Arabidopsis thaliana: one gene and its partners. The protein of the gene in region 2 purifies or fractionates together with the protein of the main gene of each other region. This does not show direct contact. Each region holds a gene or a part of one and is shown on either strand. Other genes may lie near its edges.

Region 1 (7,329 bases), on a different chromosome or scaffold from region 2:
TTCTATGTGGGGAATGGGAAATGCAAAAGTGGATCTCATTGGGTGCCATTAGCATTTATCACTATGCATAAAATAATTTGGACCAAATATTTGTCAAACTATAACCATGTGTTAGTCAATAGCATGTTAATATTTAAATACTAGTATTTTGCCTATACACATATACCAGGTGTTTGGGTGGGATGGTGATATGTTTATTGTAGAAGGTTTGGAAGCAATTAAAACTTTTAATAATTTTAATGCATAAGTTATCCAGTCTTAAAGAGGCTAATAACCCAAACACCTAATCTCATCTACTAAAATACTGAAAATACAGTGGCTACTATTGTTTTGCATATAAACAAGACGGATAAAACTATGGATTATTATTGAAGAGTGAAGACACATGATTCTCGAGTCAAGACATTATTGAATAATGAATACTTAAAAATGTTTTCAGACATCTTGCTCCAACTGACCTTCGTGTATAGCATGTACTCGCCATTTTATGTAATATAGTGATTGTTATAATAGGTGTAAAACCAAACAAATAATTGGTCCTTTTTGTGTAGTGATAAATAGAGCTGTCATATATTAGGTATGGCCGGTTGGGGTTGAGAATTCATCCCTTAGCTTGCAATATAATACGTTCTTATATGTCAATGAACACTCAAATTATATGTTTTATTAATCAAATGTGAAGTGTTAAAGACTTAAAGTTGACGATTTGGTAGGCCAAGTTGATCAATATCTCTTTTTTCATCATCTCTTTAGAGGTTTGTGTTTAGGATCCCACAGCTTCTGCTTACTTTTTGAGTAATTTACAAGCAATTGCTATTAATCAACTAGTTTATTATATTAAATCTGGACAACTAGACATGTCACTCTACAAATAAGAGACAAATATGTAAATTATTATTGATATTTTAATTTTGTAACCCGTAGTTAGGAATGGATTGTACTTGGTGCTTAATACCCACATGACATTATCATTTTAAATAAAGAAATGTCATAGTGGATAATTGACCTAAGAATGACATGTTCTATGGATTTAATTCGGCGCGCTGGTATGATGTGAGATTAGTATTTTTCGTAATTGTTAATATACTCAGCTGATTTTTTTTAATGCATCATGTAATTGACAGGAGCAAGATCTATATGACTATATGTTAAGAATCATGTGGAATCAATCCCACTTTTTAAAATAAACATGATGTATAGTAAAGCTACACAAAATGTGTTGTATACTAGGGAGATGAGATCATACTAAAACCATAGTGTAAATCTTTAATGGGGTTAAGGCCTTATTCGAGGGAGATGATACTAGAACCATAGTGGTTATTGTTAATGTCACTAAAAAATAGGTCATTGCATGCACTATTTTACATCAAAAAAAATTGCGACAACTTGCAAACGGGCACTAGATTATGACACTATATCAACCTTAGTACTCAAGACTATATTACATGTTCTGATCAATCAAAACATCTATACTTTTTACTGTCTTAAGTTTGTTATGTATAATGTAATATGATATTTAGAGATCAACAATTTCAAAATGTTTGTGATTGTCTTTACATAATAATAGCCTTTGTACTTCAACAACCACCACAATTATTTTGATACTTTCATCACAACAATTAGGAGAATCTTCCACTTTACCATTTTGCAAAGTATATTTGATAAACTTAAATTTTGTAATCCGCATTTCAATAATATAAAAATGTAAAAGCAAATCGAGTAAAACAGATAACATAACAATGAAGAGAGGTCAAGATACACAAGTACACAAAACCTTACATGACACATACCAAAAAAAAGAATAACTCTCAACAAAGGCCAAACTCAAGAACATTAGAGAAAATTATAAACAATGTAAATCTTTTAGAGAGAAACTTTTATCAATTGCACATATAGACTCCGGTTTCGTACCTGTGATCTACCTCAAAGAAATCTGTATTTCCCTCAGCAGCTGCACGTAGACTGATACCAGACAGAGAAGTATTTCCCTGTACCGAGAATTTCACATAGCAGATGATATCTGGTTCTTCCTCGCTGTTATCTGAATCGATAGGCATCCGTGCTCTTAGTCTCCCGGGACTTCCATTCAGAGGAATCTCCGGAATTTGCCATTTCAGTTCTCGATCGGTTCTGTTCAGTATTGCTTTAGGCGAAACCTTAAGCAATGTGGGATCAACCGGGAGTTTTAGGATAAAGTCGACGTTTTTCAGAGGCTGAGGTAGATCCGGATTTGAGACGTATTGTATCATAAGTGAGAGTAAAGTCCCGCTGATTCGTTTCACCATTCGGACTCTAAGAGGCAACGGGGTTAGTTTAGGTTGCAAGCTATATTTAAGGATAGGGATTGGTTCTTCTGATGGAGCAGTTCTCACGTGAAACAAACCGTTCCCTAAGCTACTGATCCGAGAACTCTGCATAGCAAATCTCTTAACTGCAGTAGTACCCTCAACACGGAATGAGAACTCAGTTTCTTTCTCTTCACCAGAGCCTTTGGGTGGCATCGTTTTCAGATAGATCACACCCATTACTCCTACTCTAGCAAGCAAGGATTCTCTAAACTCGGTTCTAATTTCCTCAGAGATATACATTTCAGGACCTTTCATCTCAGGCTTCTTAACTAGGTTATCGATATTAACTCCATCTTTGCCTTCCACTGCTTTCGGATCACTGGTGTGCAACAGCTCAAGCCCACCGAGTCCTTCCTTCTTCTGAATCTTCTTTGGTCCCATAAACTCTGAAGGATCCAACCCACCTCCCCAAGCATCACTAAACGATTCAAAAGTTTCTCCAATCGTAGCCTGTTCATTGCTGAACTCAATCCCACCATACTGCCCTTCGAATCCTTCCACATTGATGTGCGTAGACTGTGTTGCCTCGGCTGGAGGTAATGTCGTCACTTCAAGTCCAGCCAATGCCAAAGTCAAATCCGTTGAGGACGGATCCTTAGTCTTCTTGAATCCACCCACAAGTTCTTTCTCCTTGTTAATCGTTTCACTAGCCGCAAAAGGATCCTTATTCTCCGGCTCTGGTTCTTCCTTCAATTGCTCTGATTCAGGCACCACTGGAGCCAAGCTCGCCGCGAACTCATCTCCAGCGGCAACAGTCTCCGGAGGCAATTCAAATCTTGCATTAGAAAATGCGTTTACAGAAGCTTGATGCTCTGCCGCATGCGATTCAACAGCCATCCAACTATCAGCTCCTCGGATCTTATTCTCAGTATCAAGAGCCGAATGAACCATCTTCGCAATCCCATCTCCGTGCATAGCACCAAGCATCGCCGCAAGACGGATATTACTAACACCACGCAAAACAATATCAAGCGCCATATAAACCTCAGCATACTTCCGTCCAAGCTTCTCCGGAGTAACTTCAACTCCACGACAAGCAGTAACAATAACACTAACAGCTTGATTCACAATATGAATACACTCAAATACATTGATCGAATTATCATGATCCGCGACAGTAACACCAAGGATATAGATCGAGTTCACTAATCTATAAACTACACGATACTTGCTCTCAACACCAACAATAACCTGTCCATTAGAAGCAGCGAGTGGATCATCACCTACAAACTCCGCCGCCGTGGCATCGTCAGGATCCGCAACGGAGGAAGAAGAAGAAGAAGAAGAAGAAGCTTGATTCTGTTTCTGATTCGATTGTTGCTGATGCTGCTGCTTCGAGGACGCTAATGCTTGACGCATTTGACGAAAATACGAGAGAGCGATTAAGGCTCTTGCTGGTGGAAACCATTCTCTAGTTTGGAGCAAAATGTCGGATCCATTTGCTGGTTGCAGAGCTAGGGCTAAACACGACATGATCCCGATTCGAAATTGATCTCGAAGCTTCTACTAATGGTGACTATTCAATCTCAATGGTTAGATTGAAACATCTGATGAAGAAATCGATCAGATCTGAGAACTGAGAAGAATCGTCGGAGAAGAAAAGGAGAAAGAGAAATGAGATCTTCGTTGTTTCTTTCGAAAACGACGTCGTTTGTTTCATTACTCGTATCCTACCTGCATGGACCTAATGCGATGGTTTGAAAATAAGCCCAATAGTAGACGTTTATTCTTAACTTATTGGGCCTAATGTCAAGGTAAGAAGCCCAATAATATGATAAAACGATGTCGTTTAACGCGATTAGGTCTTTTTAAATTTTGTAGCGCTTATAACTTTTGCGATTTTTTTTTAATTGGTAGCTTTTGGCGGTGAAATGCAAAATGGGAAAATTAAGCCGGAGAATCTCCTCCGACGATCGCCGACGAATCGTAAACTAACCACAGGCTGTGAAATCCTCGACGGATGTCTTCGCGGCGGAATTTCCTGCGATTCTTTAACCGAAATCGTTGCGGAGAGTGGCTGCGGAAAGACACAGCTCTGCCTTCAGCTTTCGCTCTGTACCCAACTTCCGATTTCACACGGCGGACTCAACGGTTCTTCTCTTTATCTCCATTCAGAGTTCCCATTTCCGTTTCGTCGTCTCCATCAGCTCTCGCACACGTTTCATCAATCAAACCCTAGTATTTACGCGAATTACAATGATAATCCTTGTGATCATGTGTTTGTACAAAATGTCCATTCTGTAGACCACCTGTTCGACATAATGCCTAGGATAGATGGGTTTGTTGGGAATTCGAAAACTAGGTTTCCGTTGAAGTTGATTGTGCTTGATTCTGTAGCGGCATTGTTTAGATCGGAGTTTGATAATACTCCGTCTGATCTTAAGAAGAGATCTTCTTTGTTTTTCAAGATATCTGGGAAATTGAAGCAGTTGGCTAGCAAGTTTGATTTGGCTATTGTGATTACGAATCAGGTTACGGATTTGGTTGAAACTTCTGATGGGTTAAGTGGGCTGAGGATTGGGAATTTGAGGTATTTGTATTCGTCTGGAAGACGAGTTGTTCCTTCTTTAGGCTTGGCTTGGGCTAATTGTGTGAATTCCAGATTTTTTATTTCACGAAGTGATGGTAGTATTGTTAAAGATAGAAGTGAAAAGGACGAGAATTGTTCAAGTTCTGTGTCCAGAAGTGCTAAGAGACGGCTTGACATAGTGTTTTCACCTTATTTGCCTGGGAGTTCTTGCGAGTTCATGATCACACGAGAGGGGATTTGTGCGGTTCAAGCGTAGGTGAACTCGGGTGCTATGTAGGATAGTTTTTGTTCGAAGCATCACCGGATTTTTTGGAGTATTTGTTCATTAGCCATTATTTATGTACATTGCAGAAGGATCCGGAGATGGGTTGCAGCAAAGCCAGGTTTATTTTTTCGGATTCCTCCTCTTGGTTAGATGTGATATGTGCTTGTTTTTAGTTTATAAGCATTCTATGTTCAATTATTCATAATAAAGCTTTTTAAAAGATTCCTGTTAGCTCCTAAGTCTACTGCAAGCTTCTCACTTTGTTCTCTGATTCTCTTTTCTTTGCATCATTGAATTTGCACGAAGTCGAAAATTTCCCACTTGGTTGCTATCTTCAAATCGTTTCATTTGTTGAGTAAATTGCTGATGTGATCTTTATATCTGGCCGTAATATCTTTATGAATAGGTAGTGTTGATCATCCTGGTGGATATGGTTTTTGTATTTATTTTCACTTGAACTCTGTAGCTAATTTCTCGATTCTAACCAGAAAATGACTGAAACCACAAAATATGATGATGCATGCCTTCATAAGTGCCATAAGTAATTAATCTAGTTAACATACTTCATTGTCCTATTGGTAAGCAAATGGAGTTAAAACAGATTACTTGTAGCTAAAAGATCTTTAACACTTCGATTGTTTTCTATTTTTCCGTGGTTATTCAGTGGCAGAGGAATCAACTGCAGTTCGAGAGGATCAATTCAGCCTCTGATGTATACAAGAATGAGAGATTCCGCCTAAGGCTGTTGCTAAAAACAACCATTGAATCATCTGAAGGACACGACGGAGCTCTACAAGAGGAAAAATTTTTTGGCCGTTGTTGGTCTTTGGATTAACAAAAGCTCTGTATACGAATCTTCACTTTTATTTTGTATAGAAGAAGACTAAACATATTTAGTTCCAATGTATAAGTTTCAACATCTCTTATTAGCACTCTTCACTATGAGCAAAACTTCTACTCTCTATGTGAACCGGCCCATTTACAAGATACGGCCCATGAACCTTTTGTTATACGTCATAGTGACATCACTCTCCAGCGTAAAAACTAACTTCCGACTGAAACTGGATTCGGTTCGTCGTTATCGGTATCGAATCAACAATGTCGAATCCTGCAGCCGTCACCGCCGGCAGAGGATCAATCACTCACGTCATATTCGACATGGACGGTCTTCTTCTCGGTAATCTCCTTGCATCTGATCTTCAATCTCCAGCTTTATTAGATCGTACTACTGTCACTATCGTTGTTTAGATTTGATGGTTTTTTTAGTAGTGACTGTTTAGTTTCCAGGATTGATTTCATACAATTGATGTTAAGATGCTAAAGCAATTAGCTTGAATCTGATCGGAAATCGAGCGATTGAGTTTTTGTTCTGTGTATTCAAAATCTCACAACTTCATTGGCTTATCTGCTCTTGCTGCATACATTCATGCTGATTTGGTTTCTGTTGCAGATACTGAGAAGTTTTACACTGAGGTCCAAGAGATTATACTTGCTAGGTTCAATAAAAAGTTTGATTGGTCTCTCAAGGCTAAAATGATGGGTAGAAAAGCAATAGAAGCTGCCAGGATCTTTGTTGAAGAAAGCGGGATTAGCGACTCTCTTTCAGCTGAGGACTTTCTTGTCGAGAGAGAGTCAATGTTGCAAGACCTTTTCCCTACTAGTGAGCTCATGCCAGGTAGATTCTGCTTTTTGTAACACATGACATTTGGTTCACAGGAAGATTACATGTACGGATATTTATGTTTTTGATGTGGTCATGAACCAATTCTCTTCCACATTTTCAGGGGCTAGTAGACTCATTAAGCATCTCCATGTAAAGAATATTCCAATATGTATTGCTACCGGGTAATCTCTTCACCTCATCTCATAATATACCATTTAGTTTGCATTCTCATTGTCCTTTACAATCCAGAAACTGACTTGTTATGTTTGATTGTACGCTTGCAGTACTCACACACGGCATTATGATCTGAAAACCCAAAGACACAGAGAGCTTTTCTCATTGATGCATCACGTAGTTCGTGGTGATGATCCAGAGGTGAAGCAAGGAAAGCCTGCTCCTGACGGGTTTCTCGCTGCTGCTAGGAGATTTAAGGTAACTAACAGGCAACAGTCTCCAAGATTCTCCATTACTAACTAGTTCATATTTAAAATGAGTTGTAGACTAATGTTTCCTCTTCGTCTGG
Region 2 (9,770 bases):
TTTCGCTGGTACTAGAGTCTAGAGGCTCTATTACCAAACTCGAGTGTAAATCTATAGAATTAACTCTGAGACATGCTCCCTCTCTCTCTCGGTGCTGTCGGTCATTGGTTTATTGAATTAACCAAAATTTTACTCACTACACAAAGTGTTATTGATTGTTTACTCGGATAAAATGCCATCGCATTGGTTAAATATCAATCTAACTATCATTTTTTACAACAACTCATGTACACTTGACTGCTGTTATCCAAGACACAACACTCATGAATCTCAGTCGATTTCACCCTCTTCTACTTCATTGCCGGGATCTGGAAACGCAAGCATGTCGGATTCATCTTCATCCTCCTCATGTTTCATAAATAGCCCCAGCTGCTCTAGAGGATTACTTCCTCCAAACCCAAATACAGCCAACCCATCAGACTCAGAGCCAACATCTCTTAGATTTCGTAACTGGTCCGTGTTAACCGTTTTGAGCAGTTCTAGGTCCTTGAGAAACCTTGTGTTCTCATTTATTTCAACCGACTTCTCCATCTGGTGTACCATTCAGTCATGGCAATGATCAATATACATGTATTGCAGTTTATAAAACCAAACTGGTACAAGGCAGCAATTTTGATTTACCTCAAGCAATGCCTGCCGGGCTGCTTCTCTTTCAAGTTCCAGTTTCCTCTTAGCCTCTTGTGCCTCAGCTTTTCTACGAGCTTCTTCAGCTTCCTTGGCTTCTGCTTGTAACCGTGCTTTTTCTGGTGCACAAAACAATAAGAGGACAAGTTTATGTACGTATATACTACTTGGTATATATCATCAATCAAAAAATCGAAACTAGCAAATCAAGAATACCTTTCTTCTTTTGCAATTCCAGTTCTTCCTTCTCACGTTGCAGTGTCTCTGGGTCTCGTTTCTCATTCTGATCTCACAAATATAATTTTGAAAGTCAAAGAGGGAGGGCTAACCAGATATAACAGCTCACACCTCCACAAACACAGCTAACCTGATTAAGAGTTATCTCTTGAGCCTTCAAGATTATATCCGCAAATCGATTTTTCAATAGAGCAGCCCTGTAACGCTTTTCTGGAGGTAGTTCCTTCTCTTTTGGAGCACTATTTCCTAAATTATTAATGGGTCAAGAGTGAGATGCCACCCTCAGATATTAGAGCACAGATATTTTTCTGCTACACTTCTGAGCTTACCATCTTGATGACCATCTGCCCCCTCAATAAGACTTAGCTTCCCTCTGGATGCATCTTCCATCTGATTCAATCCACCGACGGAATCTGCTTTTAGAAAGGGAATAAGAAAACCAAGGTTTATTAATTAATATCAACAAAACTTAACATCTTTTGCACCAAAAGAGGAGTAATCACTGATTAGAGATAATATGATCACTATAGAAAATAGCAAACAGCGACCTGGGAGTAAAACAAGCAGAAAATGTAACAGGTCTATCACTATCATACTAGGTGTGTAATATGAGTTGCTATCAGTAAGGTCAGTAAGTTTCACTCCAAAAAAACTACAGAAGTAACATTGAGTATTCTAGATGGACGGCCACTTCTGACAAGAGGGAAGTAAAATGGTTCCGAGGGTTAAGTACATATAAGAATTGCAAACATCAAACGTCTGCAAAAGCTCCATAGAGAAAAAGACAAATACAATGTAGCAAGATTAAACAAACCACTGTAGTTCTCTAACGCCATACCTTTTTCTGTTCTGACAGTTGAGATGTGAGATATAGGGTGCTCATAATTACCAATGTCAACATCCTCGTCCTCCAATTCACTCCCTGCAAGTAACGAGGAGGAAATGACAGCTTAATCATAGAGTAGGACATGCGAATTAGCTCAAACAACAAAACCAGTGTATGCTAACCATCACAGTGTTGCGTCAATGAATTTCCTGGCCCTGACCCATGTAAAAGCTACATCAAGAAAGTTTTCGCTGTTTATCAGTCATGTTAACAAATGGATCAAGAATGAGATATAGAAAGGTGATTACCTCTAACACACAGGGTTCACCGTTTGAATCTTTCTTTTGATTTTCTCGCAGAAACTCATCAAAGAGATCCCGCAACTGGAACAAGGCATCATGACTGAGATCATTGATGTCAATCTCTATCTCATCATCTCCAGATCTCTCTTCCTTGGAGCTGTGATCTCTCAGGAAATTTATTATCTGTACAGGGAATTCTGTCAAGGACCCCAAATCTCTGCCAAGCTTTACTCTATCCTCATCTGTCATAACCCGCTTAGCAGGCTCTAAGAGGCTGTTACGTTTCACAGCATTCATCTTTCTCTTCTTAGCCACAGGCTCAGGTATCGCAATATCTTTGTGAGCAAGAGTAGCCAAGTTACTTGGTTCAGATTTGGTTCCGGATGACTTCTTCTCGATAGTTTTCCATCTCACTTCAAAAAACTTGCTGAGAGTATCAGCGAAGCGATACACATTATTATCTGACGGGTTATAAGTCATAGCATTGCGGAAAGTAAGACGGACATCAGCAGAAAACTCTGAAGGGCTTGAATACGTGCCGGAAGTTAACTTGCTTTTAACAGTTCCTAAATCCATAGGATGTTTGATAATGGTGAAATAATCAGGAATGTTGAGCTTGACGACGTCCACAGGGGTATTAAAGAGCCAACAATGCTGCTGCGACATCAATCGTTTAAGGAGGCTCTCACATTGCTTCATCCGAAGCATAGTGGAAGTGGTGACTGGCTCTGGTTTGGTTGCTGTGAAGGGGAGCACCCTTTTTCCAGGGCCAGTAGAGCATCGTGACATTCCAAAACTCTTGGGGCGAGACACATTACTTGCAGGTGTACTAGTAACAATCTTAGATATAGGAAGAAGGTCCCCAACACTCTTCTGAAAGGACCGTAGTTGTTCCAGCTCCTGACGAAGCGTATGAATCCACTTTCTCCTTTCTGATGATGACAAGTCAGACAAGGGTAAAACTATTCTCGGGACACCAAAAGTTTCATCATCCTTGGAAGCATTGGGGCTATCATCACAGCCGCCGGGAGAGTCAAAACTGTTACGATTATAATCTCCTGGGAAACCACCGTTCCTCACAGTCATGATATCGCCCACCGAAGTGCGAACCTGCACAAATCAAAATATTTAAGTCAGTTTTGAGAAACCCTAACTATGAAAACCTGAAAGCAATTCAATTCTTAGAGCCCTATAGTATTGCTGGAGGAGAGCAGTGAACACTCAATATGCATAAAAAAGGAAATTCGGAACTAACCAACTCGAAACACTTAGCAAGCGATCGAACCGGAGCAGAAGTAAGAGAACCGAGGAACAAGCGTAAATCTTCTCCAGCAGAAACAGATTAACGCTAGAGATTGGTGTAGAAGATGATGATGAAGAAGAAGATAGAGTAAAACCCTAGAGTGGAGACGAAGAAGACGACCGAGAAGTAGAGAGAGAACAAAATCGCTCTCTGCCCTCCCTTCTCTAGTGTCCCGTCCCTAACGAATGCTGCGTCTAACGCCGTTTTGCTACTGGGCAGGACTCAATCTGGACCGTCGGATCTGATCCCTCGAATTAAAATCGAATGCAAATACTTCGGTGCATAAAAATAATATCCTGGGCTTATAATGTAAAGCCCAATGAACTTTTTAATGTGCCTTTATTGGGTCTACGGATGACTCAACACGGCACGCTGTGAAAGCTCGAATCGCAGGAACGGCACGCGCTTTTTTCCTTCGAAAACAATTTCTTCTCCTTCTTCTTCAATTGATGGTTTGATTTACACATCCTTCTTCTTCCAGTTCCATGTCGCATACGTACACAGATTGACAGCGAAGCTAGTTAGCTCAGATTTTGGATCTCGAATTTCAGTTAATTCGATCCGGTTATGGACATTCTTTTTGCTCAGATCCAGGCGGACCTCCGTTCAAATGACGCGCTTCGCCAGTCATCGGCGCTTCTTCAGGCGCTGCAGCAATCCGCCGCCGGAAGAGATATCTCTGTGATCGCTAAGTCTGCTGTGGAGGAGATTGTTGCTTCTCCGGCTTCAGCTGTTTGTAAGAAGCTGGCATTCGATCTCATCCGATCTACCCGCCTCACTCCGGATCTTTGGGACACCGTTTGCTCAGGTGTCAAAACGGATCTTCATTTTCCGGACCCGGATGTTACCGCCGCTGCCGTCTCCATCCTTGCGGCTCTCCCTGCCTTCTCGCTTCCTAAACTCATCTCTGATTGCAGCTCTGAGATTGCTTCCTGCTTCGATTCTCCATCTGACAACCTTCGTTTTTCCATCACCGAGACACTTGGCTGCATCCTCGCGCGTGATGATCTCGTTACTTTGTGCGAGAACAATGTGGGTCTCCTCGACAAGGTCTCCAACTGGTGGGCTCGGATCGGCCAGAACATGCTCGACAAATCCGACGCCGTCTCCAAGGTTGCCTTTGAGTCCGTCGGCAGACTCTTCCAGGAGTTCGACTCCAAGCGGATGAGCCGTCTTGCTGGCGATAAGCTCGTTGACAGCGAGAACTCCCTCGCCATCAGGTCCAAGTGGGTCTCTTCCATGGTTGACATTGTATGGAGAAAGAGGAGCGCTTTGATGGCTAGGTCTTTAGTCCTTCCTGTCGAAACCTTCAGAGCCACTGTTTTCCCTCTTGTCTTTGCTGTCAAAGCTGTTGCTTCCGGTAGTGTCGAAGTGATTAGACAGCTTTCCAAGGCTTCCTCTGCTGCTGCTGCAGCTAATGCCACCGTTGTGGACTCCAACGCCGAGAAGCTGGTTGGCGTCTCAGATTTGGTTACCCATTTGGCGCCATTCTTGGCTTCCTCTTTGGATCCAGCTTTGATTTTTGAAGTGGGAATTAACATGCTCTACCTGGCAGATGTTGCCGGAGGCAAGCCAGAGTGGGCTTCACAGTCCATTATTGCAATTTTAACACTCTGGGACCGCCAAGAATTTTCCTCTGCTAGAGAGAGTATAGTCAGGGCCGTTGTTACGAACCTGCACTTGCTTGATCTGCATATGCAGGTATGTCGTTTTTTACTTCATTTAAGCTCGGTTAGTTGTGTACCTTTGTCTTGAAGCTGTGGCCTATGATTTCTGAATCATTCTTTTTGGAATTTGTTACGAAGGTTTCGTTGTTTAGAAGACTGCTGCTTATGGTGAGAAACTTGAGAGCAGAATCGGACAGGATGCACGCATTAGCCTGTATCTGTCGGACAGCTCTCTGTGTTCACCTTTTTGCCAGAGAAAGTGCCCGAAGAGGTCAGAAGCCTCTGCCTGGGACAGATATTATTTCTCTCTTTGAAGATGCAAGGATTAAAGATGATCTCAATAGTGTTACCAGTAAGAGCTTATTTCGGGAAGAGCTGGTGGCAATGCTTGTGGAAAGCTGCTTCCAGTTGTCTCTACCTTTGCCTGAACAAAAAAACTCGGGTATGGAGAGCAGAGTGATTGGTGCGTTAGCATATGGTACTGGTTATGGTGCTCTGAACTGGACAGAACCAGCCCTTGAGGTTGTGGAAGTTTGTAGGCCTTGTGTCAAATGGGATTGTGATGGCAGGACGTACGCTGTAGATTGCTATTTGAAATTGCTTGTTAGGCTGTGCCATATCTATGATACCCGTGGAGGAGTGAAGAGGCTGAAAGATGGTGCTTCCCAGGATCAAATATTAAATGAGACACGATTGCAGAACTTGCAACGTGAGCTTGTTAAGGATCTCCAAGAGGTAATTAAGCCTCAGCTGAAAGTTAGAAGTAACCCTTGGCAATTTTCCTCGAAGAATTTTAGTTAGGCTTTCTTAAGTACTATTTAATACTAAATGTGGAGGAGAACTATTGCTTGTGGACTGAAACGTGGTCAATGTCTTATAAAAATCTTGATCTCAATTTGGCAGGTAAATACCCCAAGAATCCTCGGGCGTCTTATATGGACAATCGCAGAACATATTGATCTAGAAGGTCTAGATCCACTTTTAGCTGATGACCCCGATGATCCATTGAATATTATCATAGCAAACATACATAAGGTTCTCTTCAACTTGGATGCCGCTGCTACTACATCGAATAGGCTACAAGATGTTCAGGCAGTCTTATTATGCGCCCAGAGGATGGGATCGCGTCATGCAAGAGCTGGCCAGTTATTAACCAAAGAGCTTGAAGAGTATAGGAACCATGCTGCTGCAGATACAGTTAGCAAACATCAAACCCGTTTAATATTGCAGAGGATCAAATATGTTTCAAATCTTCCTGAAAGAAAGTGAGCTTTCCCTTGGCTTGTAATCCTTTTATTATGTGAGTTTTACTGCATTTCTGGATTGGAACTCAGACAACCTATTATTTTCCAGGTGGGCTGGAGTTAGTGAGACAAGAGGAGATTACCCGTTTAGCCACCATAAGCTTACTGTTCAGTTTTACGAACCATCAGCTGCTCAAGACAGGAAATTAGAAGGTCTAATTCACAAGGCCATTCTCGAGCTTTGGAGGCCAAAGCCCACTGAATTAACTCTCTTCCTTACAAAAGGGGTCGACTCAACTTCTATCAAGGTTCCTCCCACAGCATATCCTTTGACCGGAAGCAGTGATCCTTGCTATATAGAAGCTTACCATTTAGCAGATACAAATGATGGAAGGGTCACTTTGCACTTGAAGGTTGGTATATATTCTACTGTATCATCCTGCAGTTACTTGAATACAGTTTTAGTGGATAAAGTTTTAGCGTCTCAACACCTTATACTTTATGTTACCTTTCAGATTATTAATTTGACAGAACTTGAACTGAATCGTGTGGATATACGGGTTGGATTATCTGGTGCCCTATACTTCATGGATGGCTCTCCTCAAGCAGTGCGGCAGTTGCGTAATCTTGTCTCACAGGTTGCATGTCATTCTTCAGTGCTTATATACTCCCATCTCTTTACAGTTCTCTAATTTCTTAAGTCTTGTCAGTTGGAAACCGTTTCTGTTCTTACCAATCAATCAGTTTCGTATATGTTAGCTGTATTATCATGGACTCTGTGATTTACTTTTGTAGGATCCTGTACAATGCAGTGTCACCGTTGGTGTGTCCCAATTTGAAAGATGTGGTTTCTGGGTTCAAGTCCTCTACTATCCATTCCGTGGTGCTAGGGGAGAATATGACGGTGACTACATAGAAGAGGATCCACAGATCATGAAGCAGAAGAGAGGTTCAAAAGCAGAACTCGGAGAGCCTGTGATCTTAAGATGTCAGCCTTACAAGATCCCACTGACTGAGCTTCTTCTACCGCACAAAATCTCACCAGTCGAGTTCTTTCGTTTGTGGCCTAGCTTGCCAGCTGTTGCAGAGTACACTGGCACATATATGTATGAAGGAAGCGGCTTCATGGCGACCGCCGCACAACAGTATGGGGCTTCACCATTTTTAAGCGGACTCAAATCATTATCCTCGAAGCCATTCCACAGAGTCTGTTCCCACATTATACGCACAGTTGCTGGCTTTCAGGTGAACTTGGTTCTGTTATTCTTCTTGTTCCTTAACTGGATTGATGGTCTGATAAACCCCTAACTTGATGTCACTACAGCTTTGTTACGCTGCAAAAACGTGGCATGGAGGTTTTGTGGGTATGATGATCTTTGGCGCTAGTGAAGTGAGCAGGAACATGGATCTGGGTGACGAGACTACCACCATGATGTGCAAGTTTGTGGTTAGAGCATCAGAAGCATCAATCACAAAGCAAATAGAGTCGGATATTCAGGGATGGTGTGATGATCTAACTGACGGGGGCGTTGAGTACATGCCAGAGGACGAAGTGAAGGCAACCGCGGCCGAGAAGCTGAAGATCTCTATGGAGAGGATAGCTTTGTTGAAGGCAGCTCAGCCGAAGAAGACTTCAAAGATAGAGGAGGAATCAGAAAACGAAGAAGAAGAAGAAGGAGAAGAAGAAGATGATGATGAAGAAGTAAAAGAGAAAAAGGAGAAAGAAGAGGGAAAGGACAAGGAAGAGAAGAAGAAAAAAGAGAAGGAAAAAGGAACATTTTCTAAGCTGACAGCAGAAGAAACAGAGCACATGGCGCTTCAGGCAGCAGTGCTCCAAGAATGGCACATCTTGTGCAAAGATAGAAAATATACCAAAGTTAACTAAGAGCGAGAGTACTTTTTTCTCAGATGAAGCTACAACAATCTTTGTTTTCTTTTGTTGTGTGTGGTTTCTTCGTAGGTTTAGATGTTTTGTATTGTTGTTGGTGAAGAAAAGAAACAAACCAAGGATGTTACTATTGCCCTTTTTTACGAATTCTTCCGTCTTATTCACAAATTTCACACGTTTATGGAACCAAGGATGCATTTACCCATTTTCCATCAGTAACATTCTGTAGTCATGCAGTGTTTGGCGTGAGATTGCTCTGTTTTTTGCAACGAAGAAAACTGAAAGATAACCAGAAACAGATCCATGTTTAAGGAAGATGGTTTTGGCTTCATTTGTGATACAGTGTTTGAGATCCAGAAACAGGTTTATTGTCTGAGAAACAAGAAAGCCTTAAAAGCTTATCCACGTCTGCATTATGAACTTTGCTTACAAATAAAAAGACAGTCACATCACTAGCTTTCCTCTGAAGTAATTCCTCTACGCAGGTACTTCAGAGAGGGTCCTCTTCTTTCCTTTCTTTACCTCTGTTCCCTCATTTTCTGCCTGCTCTGCCTTCTTCTGCGCACGGATCATTGCTCGCCTTGCGCGCGGTCGCATCTCTCTAACTCTACGAGGCGGCATCACAAATGGCTCAAGTGGCTTGTCCCCAAAAGGATGCTCACCGCCTTCAAATATCCTCAGCTTCCGATCCCTGTCCTATACCCACACAAAGCAACAAAACCTCAGCACATTCTTGTTTTAAGCAACACATCCTAAACTATGCGAGCAATTCATTTAGGAGCTGAGAAGCGAGAATGTATCAGTACAAACAAGCCACTATTCCCACCAAAGATAAAGGACAAATAACAAAATGGTAAAACCAAGAGTTCAGAACAATCTTCCTTCCAAACCTAAATGATTTTCAAAACAAGGGTATATCATCTCATTCGATAAGACCGATTTGTGAGGAGAGACAACCTTTCTAGACATAGGACACCAAGAATCTCATTCCACACAACTCATGATGGATATCAACAAGTAAGAGTAAAGCCAAGGTGTGGGGTAATATCTGTAGCCAGAAAGTCAGGGATCTAAAAGACTGAGGATTCAGGTGATTAGAAAATGTTTCAGTTTATAGTGTACTCACATCACGCAAATTGTTACTTGGAAGCATGCGCCAGACAGCCTTACGAATGACCTCTGTGGGATCTTTGGCCATCTGATCTTTCAGACTCCGTTCCTTCAGGTGTCCGATGTACCTACAAAGAGAGATTAAATAAAGTAGATGAAAATGGGAGATACTAAAAGATATGATAAAACACTTGTAGTAGCTGAAGATTCACAGGAGCATTAAAAGAAAGAGTGCAACTTGCCCAGTATGCCAACGGTAGAATTTGTCAGTGAGCTTTCTTCCTGTGAAGCCGATTTCCTTAGCATTGAGAACAATACAAATATCGCCATCGTCGCGGTTAGGACAATAAGTAGGCTTATCTTTGGCTTGAAGCACGGTTGATATCTGGGAAGCTAGTCTACCAAGAACCTAGAGTAGACAAGTTATATTCACAAATGAAATCCTAGCAATTCAATTCAGATTTAATACAAAGACACAACAAAGATAAGGCATCCTATCTAAAATCTGGAAATGTTTGCCACTGTAGTCATGTAACTAACCAAGCATAAGAAGAAGAAAGTGGTAGAAG
Region 3 (7,440 bases), on a different chromosome or scaffold from region 2:
TGTTTTTATTTCCTAGAGCACTCATACTATTCCCTATATACCTGCTGGACGTATTTCTGCAATGTACTATAACACAGGTTTTCGGCTCTGCTGGTGTTATTGGAAATCCCATGGGGTTTGCGAGGAATGTTGCATTTGGAATTAAAGATTTCCTGTCAGCTCCCAGCAGGAGTATCTCAAAGGTTATGATTAAAATCTCTTTTTGTTGCTTAACATTTTCATGTAATGTCTGGTTTAGTCACTTTTAACTTATATGCTAACCTAGATTACTTGAACAGAGCCCAGCAGGAATTATTCAAGGAATGGCTCACGGAACCACAAGTCTCTTCAGTAGCACTATTTATGCTTTAAGTGATGCTGCCACTCAATTTAGTAAAGCTGCACACAAGGTACGATGCATCTGTTTGCTTAAAAATCTATGGTGTAGACGCCTCCTTCAAGAAATATTTACAGAATTACCAATTCGTTGCAGGGTATTGTTGCATTTACATTCAATGACCATGATGTTGCAAGGATGGAGAAGCAGCAATTGGGTGAAGGATCGCGTAGCAAAGGAGTTATAGGTGAAGTGTTTGAGGTATGTTATTTGCACTTTCTTTGGAAGTATGTCTTATATACTGATTTGATGTTCACTTAGTCTTGAAAGTTACTTGAAGTCAGTGACTTCTGTCAAATTCTTCTGAACTTGCATAAAGAATTTAAGCATGCCAGCTGACACGATGTTCATCACAGGGACTCACTGGTCTCCTTCAATCACCAATAAGAGGAGCTGAGAAACATGGTCTTCCAGGCGTTATCTCAGGTATTTAAGCGAGAACCACCGCTCAAGTCATCTATAGACATTCAAGACATTTGATGTTCGTGTACACGCTGTCCTTTTGTTTCTGGCTTTCTAATTTTATGCATGTTAACTGGGTGCCTATATATGGTTCAGGAGTGGCCATGGGGATTACTGGACTTGTGGCCAGACCAACCGCTAGTATCCTTGAGGTAACTGGAAAAACCGCACAGAGTATAAGAAACCGAAGCAGGATTCATAACATAAGATCCCAAAGGCATAGGCTTCGTCTTCCGAGGCCTCTGAGTAGAGAACAACCTCTCAGGCCTTACTCATGGGAAGAAGCGGTCGGGACAGCAGTACTTATGGAGGTTGGAGATTCCCTGAAGTTCAAGGGCGAGAAGCTGGTGAAGTGCAAAGCCCTGAAACAAGAAGGAGCTTTCGTTGTAATCACAGGGAGACTGGTATTGGTTCTAAGCAGCCTGAGCTTGGTAGATTTCAGAAAACAGGGATTTCTCGGAGTTCCAATAGATTTGGTATGGAATATCGAAAGAGAAATCGGTTTGGAGAGTGTAATACATACAGATTGCAGCGGTGGAGTAGTCCGCATCATAGGAAGCAATTCAGATGGTGTATGGAACTGGAGACAGGACCAGCAAAAGAAGAGCAGCCCGACCAAAAAACGATGGAACAATCCTTCAGCACAGCCGCTTCTTCAGACTAACTTAGAGTTTCCATCGGAGGAAGAAGCAGAGGACTTGTTGAGTGTGTTGTTATCGACTATTGAAACTGGGAAAAGCCGGAGCTGGCACAGTCGATTTGTTTTAAGTCGAAGTAACATCACTTAAACCGGAGACTTGCGTACATAAGAATACAGTAATTCTTTAATTTTCTTTGTGTACAAAAGTGGCTTTATGAAACTAGTTTTAGAATATATGGTCTGACATGTTTTGGCTATAAAATTTTTTTTAAAAAAAAAGCGTAATAAATCGAAGTGTATTGTACATGGATTGTCAGGCATCATCATGATGCTCATATATGTGGCATCATCATGGTGATGCTGTTTTTCATGCGGGAGAAATGTTTTTACCAACATCAAATCGTATTGCTGCGGAGTTGAGAGGGATATTATGGGTACTACACAGTCTATGTGATCTACACTTCTATAATATTGAGATTTGGTCCGACTATGGTGCTCCTATGGAAGCCATTAGTGACCCATTAGATTGGCCACGTATTTATCTTATCTTGATAGGATTCATTGGTTTCTCCCGAATTTTGATAAGATCGTATTTAAGGTTTCATCGCACGAGATATAGCCACAAGCGTAATGAGAGAAGGTCGATGCAGATCATATTTAGCTCGTGGAAGTCCGATGTGGTTACACTCGCATTGAAGAAGACAAGCGGCGTTGATTTTATTGTTCTTTATTAAGTTAAGATCTTCTATAAGTGTATGAGGAAAACAAGTTTAGACGGGAAAAACAAAAAATCGAAGTGTATTGAGTAAACTTCAATGAAACCTGTAAAGAAAAAATTAAATTAAATTGAAGATTAAATAAGACTTTAATTTTGATTGCAAATCTTTTTATCGAATTCTAGATTTAGTTGTAAACATAGTAAACCCTTATTACACCAAATACTATAGTCATTTTGTTTGAGATAATTCATTTGGAATTCTCTTTAAAAGTTTAGTGATCGGAGGCTTCTCGATTTTCTCTCTCTTCTCTCACTTGAATTTTTCAGAGAAAGAAAAAGCGATTCATGGCAAGACTCCGTCCAACATCGTTCGGCTTCTTTAACGACGATGGTTGGTTCGTTTCCAGCATCAATTGGCTTCTTTAGTGGTGGTGGCTGGCTTTTGTATCCGGACGTGGTCCGGCTTTGCCGTCTTATCTCGCCGTCTGGTTTCTACTTTTCTCTTTAGTGGAATCCGGCTTTAGTTTCCAGTTCTTTGATACCGGTTTTACCTTTCTGCTTTTCAATAATCATTGTGATCTTAGTACCAATTTTTTTTTGGGTTTTCCTTATCATCCTCTTTTCTCAAGCTTTTTTGCATCCTTATTTAGATGAAAGTCAATCTTTGTTTCATTTCTAATCTTTACCTTTTGGGTTTTAATCAACTATTAGAGTTTGTTTCAACCTAAATCGATTCTCTCAATCCTTTGATTTAGAATCTCAATTCGGCATATCTGGTAAGATTTAATCATCAAGAGAAATCATGGTTTTTTATTTCTCTTTTGTCATAGATCGTTGCTGTTCTGGAGAAATTTAGATCAAATATAAACTCTGGATATTGTGGAGCAGAGAGTCAGATTTACAAGCGTGATGAGATTGTCGTAGAGGAAATGGTGGGTTATCGGATTTGATGGTGGTGCTGGGAGATAACGATGAAACAATCATCGGCGTAAGAGAAAAGTCACATCCACGTGTCGTATGTTGCTTTGACTTGTTTTATTAGCGCTGTACTCTTTACTACAAGGTGTTTAGTTGTACCCTTTATGGATTTGTGAAATACTTTGATGACTGGGCTTTAGTGATGTTTGTAAACCCATAATTTGAATAAAAAAGAAACTTATGAACAAGAAAAAAAAAAGTTCAGTGATCCAACGGATCCACAATTAATTTCCGTAAATGGAATATATTTTGCGACAAAGGAAAGGGCTAAAACAATTGTTATTGGGCCTTTTTTTTTGGGTTAATCAGACTAGCCTTCGCAAATTCGCGCTTTACGCGTTTCGCGTCTGAAGACACTACCGGAGTTTTTGTTCGGCGATTGTAGTTAGTGGTGGTGGATCCGGGCATTTCATTTGATAACCGCGGTGGATCTAATTGATCTGGATCTGACCATAGCCCTGCTTGCTTTTTCTGGAAATTTTTAGTGTGTAGCTCTGGAGAGTTTCTCGTGAGTCGAATCGTCTATGCGGATGCAGTTGTGCTCAGATTTTTGAGTTGTCTAATTGATCTTGAAGAACTGTGAGAGAGAGAGAGAGAGATCGAAATGTTGCGGGCGAGAGCATTTCGGCAGACCAATGGTAAGATTGTGAAGATACAGGTACATCCTACGCATCCATGGCTTGTTACGGCTGATGATTCAGATCACGTCTCCGTCTGGAATTGGGAGCATCGTCAGGTCTGTATCGAGATTCTGATTTGATTTTGGTTCCGGTTCTGATTTCGAATCGTGGATCTGTCAACGTTTATGTCTATTGTGTTAGGTAATTTATGAATTGAAAGCCGGCGGAGTTGACGAGCGCCGTTTAGTTGGTGCCAAGTTAGAGAAGCTCGCCGAAGGAGAATCCGGTGAGCCATTGTTCTATTCTGGTGAAATGAGTATGAGTTTCTGATGCTTTATGTTCTTACTGACATTCGTATTTTCCTCAGACTATAAAGCTAAGCCTACTGAAGCCATTCGAGGAGGAAGGTAGTAGATAGATCTTTCTCGCTGCTAATTCAGTTGCTCCTTTCGATAATGAGAAAAATGACTTATCTGCTCAATGTTTGCACCTACTAGCGTTAAGCAGGTGAAGTTTTATGACGATGATGTGCGTTATTGGCAACTGTGGCGCAACCGCTCCGCAGCTGCTGAATCTCCATCAGCTGTCAATCATCTGACATCTGCTTTCACTTCCCCTGCTCCATCGACTAAAGGCCGTCATTTTCTGGTCATTTGTTGTGAGAATAAAGCTATTTTCTTGGATTTGGTGACAATGCGTGGTCGTGATGTGCCAAAGCAAGAGCTTGATAACAAGTCACTTCTCTGGTAAGTTCATTGCTTTTTCTCTAATTTTAGGATATGGGTTTGCTTGACACCTGGACCCCGGGGAAGATGCTCCATTACTTTAGGCTTCCTATCTTTAAATCACTTGAATCCTGGAAAGACCTCCGTTAGTTACTACGCTGGAAATATTTGAGTCAAATGTAGACTAGGCATAAGTGTAATGGATATGTGTGTTCTAAGTGTAATGGATACCAGGCTTCCTTGATGTTTAATGTTCAGTCAATGGCCAAACTCCCTTTCTACATTTTTAATTTCTACTCCTCCTTAATGTTGCTAGAATTCTTCCTTTCTTTGCAGCATGGAGTTTCTTTCGAGATCATCTGGTGGTGATGGCCCTTTAGTTGCATTTGGTTCAACTGATGGTGTCATTCGGGTTTTATCAATGATAACATGGAAGGTTTGTTTGTTTCAAAATTATATTTTTTTTTTTTGGTTTCTCTGCTGGGTTTAGAGTGAGGGATTTTGATACTGATCTGTGTTAATTTCCTTGAATGTTTACTTCCTTGCAGCTTGCACGTCGATATACAGGTGGCCATAAAGGATCCATTTATTGCTTGATGAATTTCATGGCATCATCTGGCGAAGTAACTACATATTCCCTATATATGCCCTCTTTATTGCTCTGAATTTATTTCGAGTTATTTACTTAATATGTTAATAGTTAATACCATCTGATAGATGAAAGTGTCATGTAACTTAGAAAAACATACTCAAGATCACCTACTAAGATCGACTGTATATATTATATGAAAACGAGGTCTTGAGCATATCGTCTTGGAAGTTTCCTACATATATCTCTTTCTTCTTAGCGACGTAAAAATCTCACATTCTACTAAGTGGGAGTCCAGACCGCAGCAGGCCTTACTATACGGATACCTGTTTTACAATCCAAATATCTAGCCTTAGTTTCTTAGATCATCTGTACTCGGGTTAAATTTCATGCATAGCCTAGGCATTAGGAGCGGCGGGAATTTTAAACATTGGCATCTCTTTTCCCAATTGCTTGTTTAGGTTATGTTAATAGCGAATTTCTGATAGTACTGGGCTTTCTTCCCTTTTATATAACTTGACGTTTTTTAATGAATGCTTATCAAGTATTTTCTCTCTGTTATTTATGTGCAATACATGATACTAGCCATCCTCTATCTAAATGCAATTGCAGGCACTCCTTGTTTCAGGTGGCAGTGATGGCTTACTTGTACTGTGGAGTGCCGATCATGGCGCTGACTCAAGGGAACTTGTACCCAAGCTTAGCTTAAAGGTACTCAATTATGCCCACTCTTTCATTCAAAGTTCAAGAGAGGATATTACCATGACCGTTCAATTCTTAGGCCTGGAAAGATTTGCCAGATTTGGTTACAGCTGAGGCTAAGGCACCATTGTTCTTAGTTCCAGTGAACCTTCTGAATTGATTTCTGTGTCTGTTTCTGAATGTTGGATACTTGCATTTAGATATTCTTTCATTCTTTTTATAAAAGGCTGAGTAATGATTAGGGGACTATGACATGCTCGTGCTTTTTTTTTTTTTTTGGTGTAATAGACATGGTCATGTTTGCTTAATTGAGTGGATAATTTCCACTTCTCTGTTATACTTTTTTTTTTTTTTTTTCCTAATCCCTTCTTGGCTTCTTCTAATGTTTTTGTTCTGATTGTATTAGGCACATGATGGTGGGGTGGTGGCTGTTGAGCTGTCAAGGGTAAGTGGGAGTGCTCCACAATTGATTACAATTGGGGCTGACAAGACATTGGCCATATGGGATACAATGACATTTAAGGTAATGGTGTATCTCATGTATGGATTTTTCATATTTTCCCGATCTCATTTATTAACATGCATATCTACTTTTATTCTACAGGAGCTACGTAGAATTAAACCTGTCCCGAAACTAGCTTGCCACAGTGTTGCATCTTGGTGTCACCCTCGAGCGCCAAACCTTGATATTTTGACTTGCGTTAAAGATTCACACATATGGTATCTTTGTTTAAGATTTGGTATTGTATATGGTAGAATATATTTATGTATATTAGATGAGTGGTCTAATTGTTTGAATTTTTGCAGGTCTATTGAGCATCCAACTTATTCGGCCCTGACAAGGCCGTTATGTGAACTTTCTTCCTTGGTTCCGCCTCAAGTACTTGCAACCCACAGAAAACTTAGGGTAATTAGCTCATTGTTGATGAAATCCTCGAAATCTACCACGTATCATATCATTTCTTTCTGCCTGCTAGTTGTATACTATATCAATAGCTCATGCTCAAGCCTGAGCATGAGCATTGCTCTCTGAGGCTCCATTCTATGTGTCCCACAAAACATTAGTTTCTCTTCTTATCTCGTAAAATGCATCTATTATGGTTCAAATGATGAAGTTGTGTAGCTGTATAATATTGCACTTGGCAATGCAAAGGTATTCTGACTCAAGTAGACTAGGAATAAGAATAAGAATAGAATACAACTGTTTGTATTACTTCTTGCAGAAAAGTTTTGTATATAGCAGACTTTAAATTGATAGCTGTTTGAACACTAAATTTATCTAAAAGAAAATTGCAATGGAGAAGATACGTAATCTTTATGTCAGATGGTGATAGGGAAAGCACATGCTGCACCCGAAAGTTGAAAGTTATTCCTTTTTCAGAATTTGCAGATAATATTCGGGGTTCATTTTCTACTTGAAACCGCCAGTTGATGATTTTCAAAGATTGCTAGTTTCTTTATTGCATAATTATAATAGCATTGCTTCTGTACTTCTTTCGCTTTCATGGCTTCCATACATTGGTAGTAACCCTCATCAGGTACTTATTAATTTCCATTTTTTAGGTCTATTGTATGGTTGCACATCCTCTACAACCACATCTCGTCGCAACTGGTACCAATGTTGGTATTA

Evidence for each region.
Region 1: the proteins of TPLATE (region 2) and AT5G57460 fractionate together in Arabidopsis thaliana (co-fractionation; one large-scale study listed by BioGRID). This does not show direct contact.
Region 3: the proteins of TPLATE (region 2) and AT5G24710 fractionate together in Arabidopsis thaliana (co-fractionation; one large-scale study listed by BioGRID). This does not show direct contact.

What each region holds. Positions count from the first base shown.
Region 1 is NC_003076.8:23,271,813-23,279,141, reverse strand, and holds AT5G57460 (muniscin carboxy-terminal mu-like domain protein), read right to left. Parts: upstream 4,033-7,329; 5' UTR 3,822-4,032; coding exon 1,881-3,821; 3' UTR 1,654-1,880; downstream 1-1,653. Other genes in the region: XRCC3 (homolog of X-ray repair cross complementing 3 (XRCC3)), read left to right, coding at 4,220-5,134; GS1 (Haloacid dehalogenase-like hydrolase (HAD) superfamily protein), read left to right, coding at 6,242-6,320, 6,594-6,818, 6,928-6,988, 7,091-7,238.
Region 2 is NC_003074.8:275,312-285,081, forward strand, and holds TPLATE (ARM repeat superfamily protein), read left to right. Parts: upstream 1-3,570; 5' UTR 3,571-3,859; coding exon 3,860-4,993; intron 4,994-5,097; coding exon 5,098-5,694; intron 5,695-5,862; coding exon 5,863-6,224; intron 6,225-6,312; coding exon 6,313-6,616; intron 6,617-6,718; coding exon 6,719-6,841; intron 6,842-6,998; coding exon 6,999-7,448; intron 7,449-7,527; coding exon 7,528-8,088; 3' UTR 8,089-8,340; downstream 8,341-9,770. Other genes in the region: BET10 (bromodomain and extraterminal domain protein 10), read right to left, coding at 271-531, 622-743, 841-907, 992-1,107, 1,191-1,274, 1,700-1,783, 1,870-1,918, 1,996-3,075; AT3G01790 (Ribosomal protein L13 family protein), read right to left, coding at 8,569-8,787, 9,218-9,329, 9,444-9,610. UniProt on the Arabidopsis thaliana protein: Functions in vesicle-trafficking events required for site-specific cell wall modifications during pollen germination and for anchoring of the cell plate to the mother wall at the correct cortical position.
Region 3 is NC_003076.8:8,464,259-8,471,698, reverse strand, and holds the start of AT5G24710 (Transducin/WD40 repeat-like superfamily protein), read left to right. Parts: upstream 1-3,525; 5' UTR 3,526-3,778; coding exon 3,779-3,910; intron 3,911-3,995; coding exon 3,996-4,080; intron 4,081-4,161; coding exon 4,162-4,201; intron 4,202-4,291; coding exon 4,292-4,540; intron 4,541-4,855; coding exon 4,856-4,955; intron 4,956-5,067; coding exon 5,068-5,142; intron 5,143-5,720; coding exon 5,721-5,819; intron 5,820-6,216; coding exon 6,217-6,333; intron 6,334-6,414; coding exon 6,415-6,530; intron 6,531-6,617; coding exon 6,618-6,717; intron 6,718-7,373; coding exon 7,374-7,440. Other genes in the region: AT5G24740 (vacuolar protein sorting-associated protein, putative (DUF1162)), read left to right, coding at 1-182, 279-389, 473-577, 733-802, 935-1,626.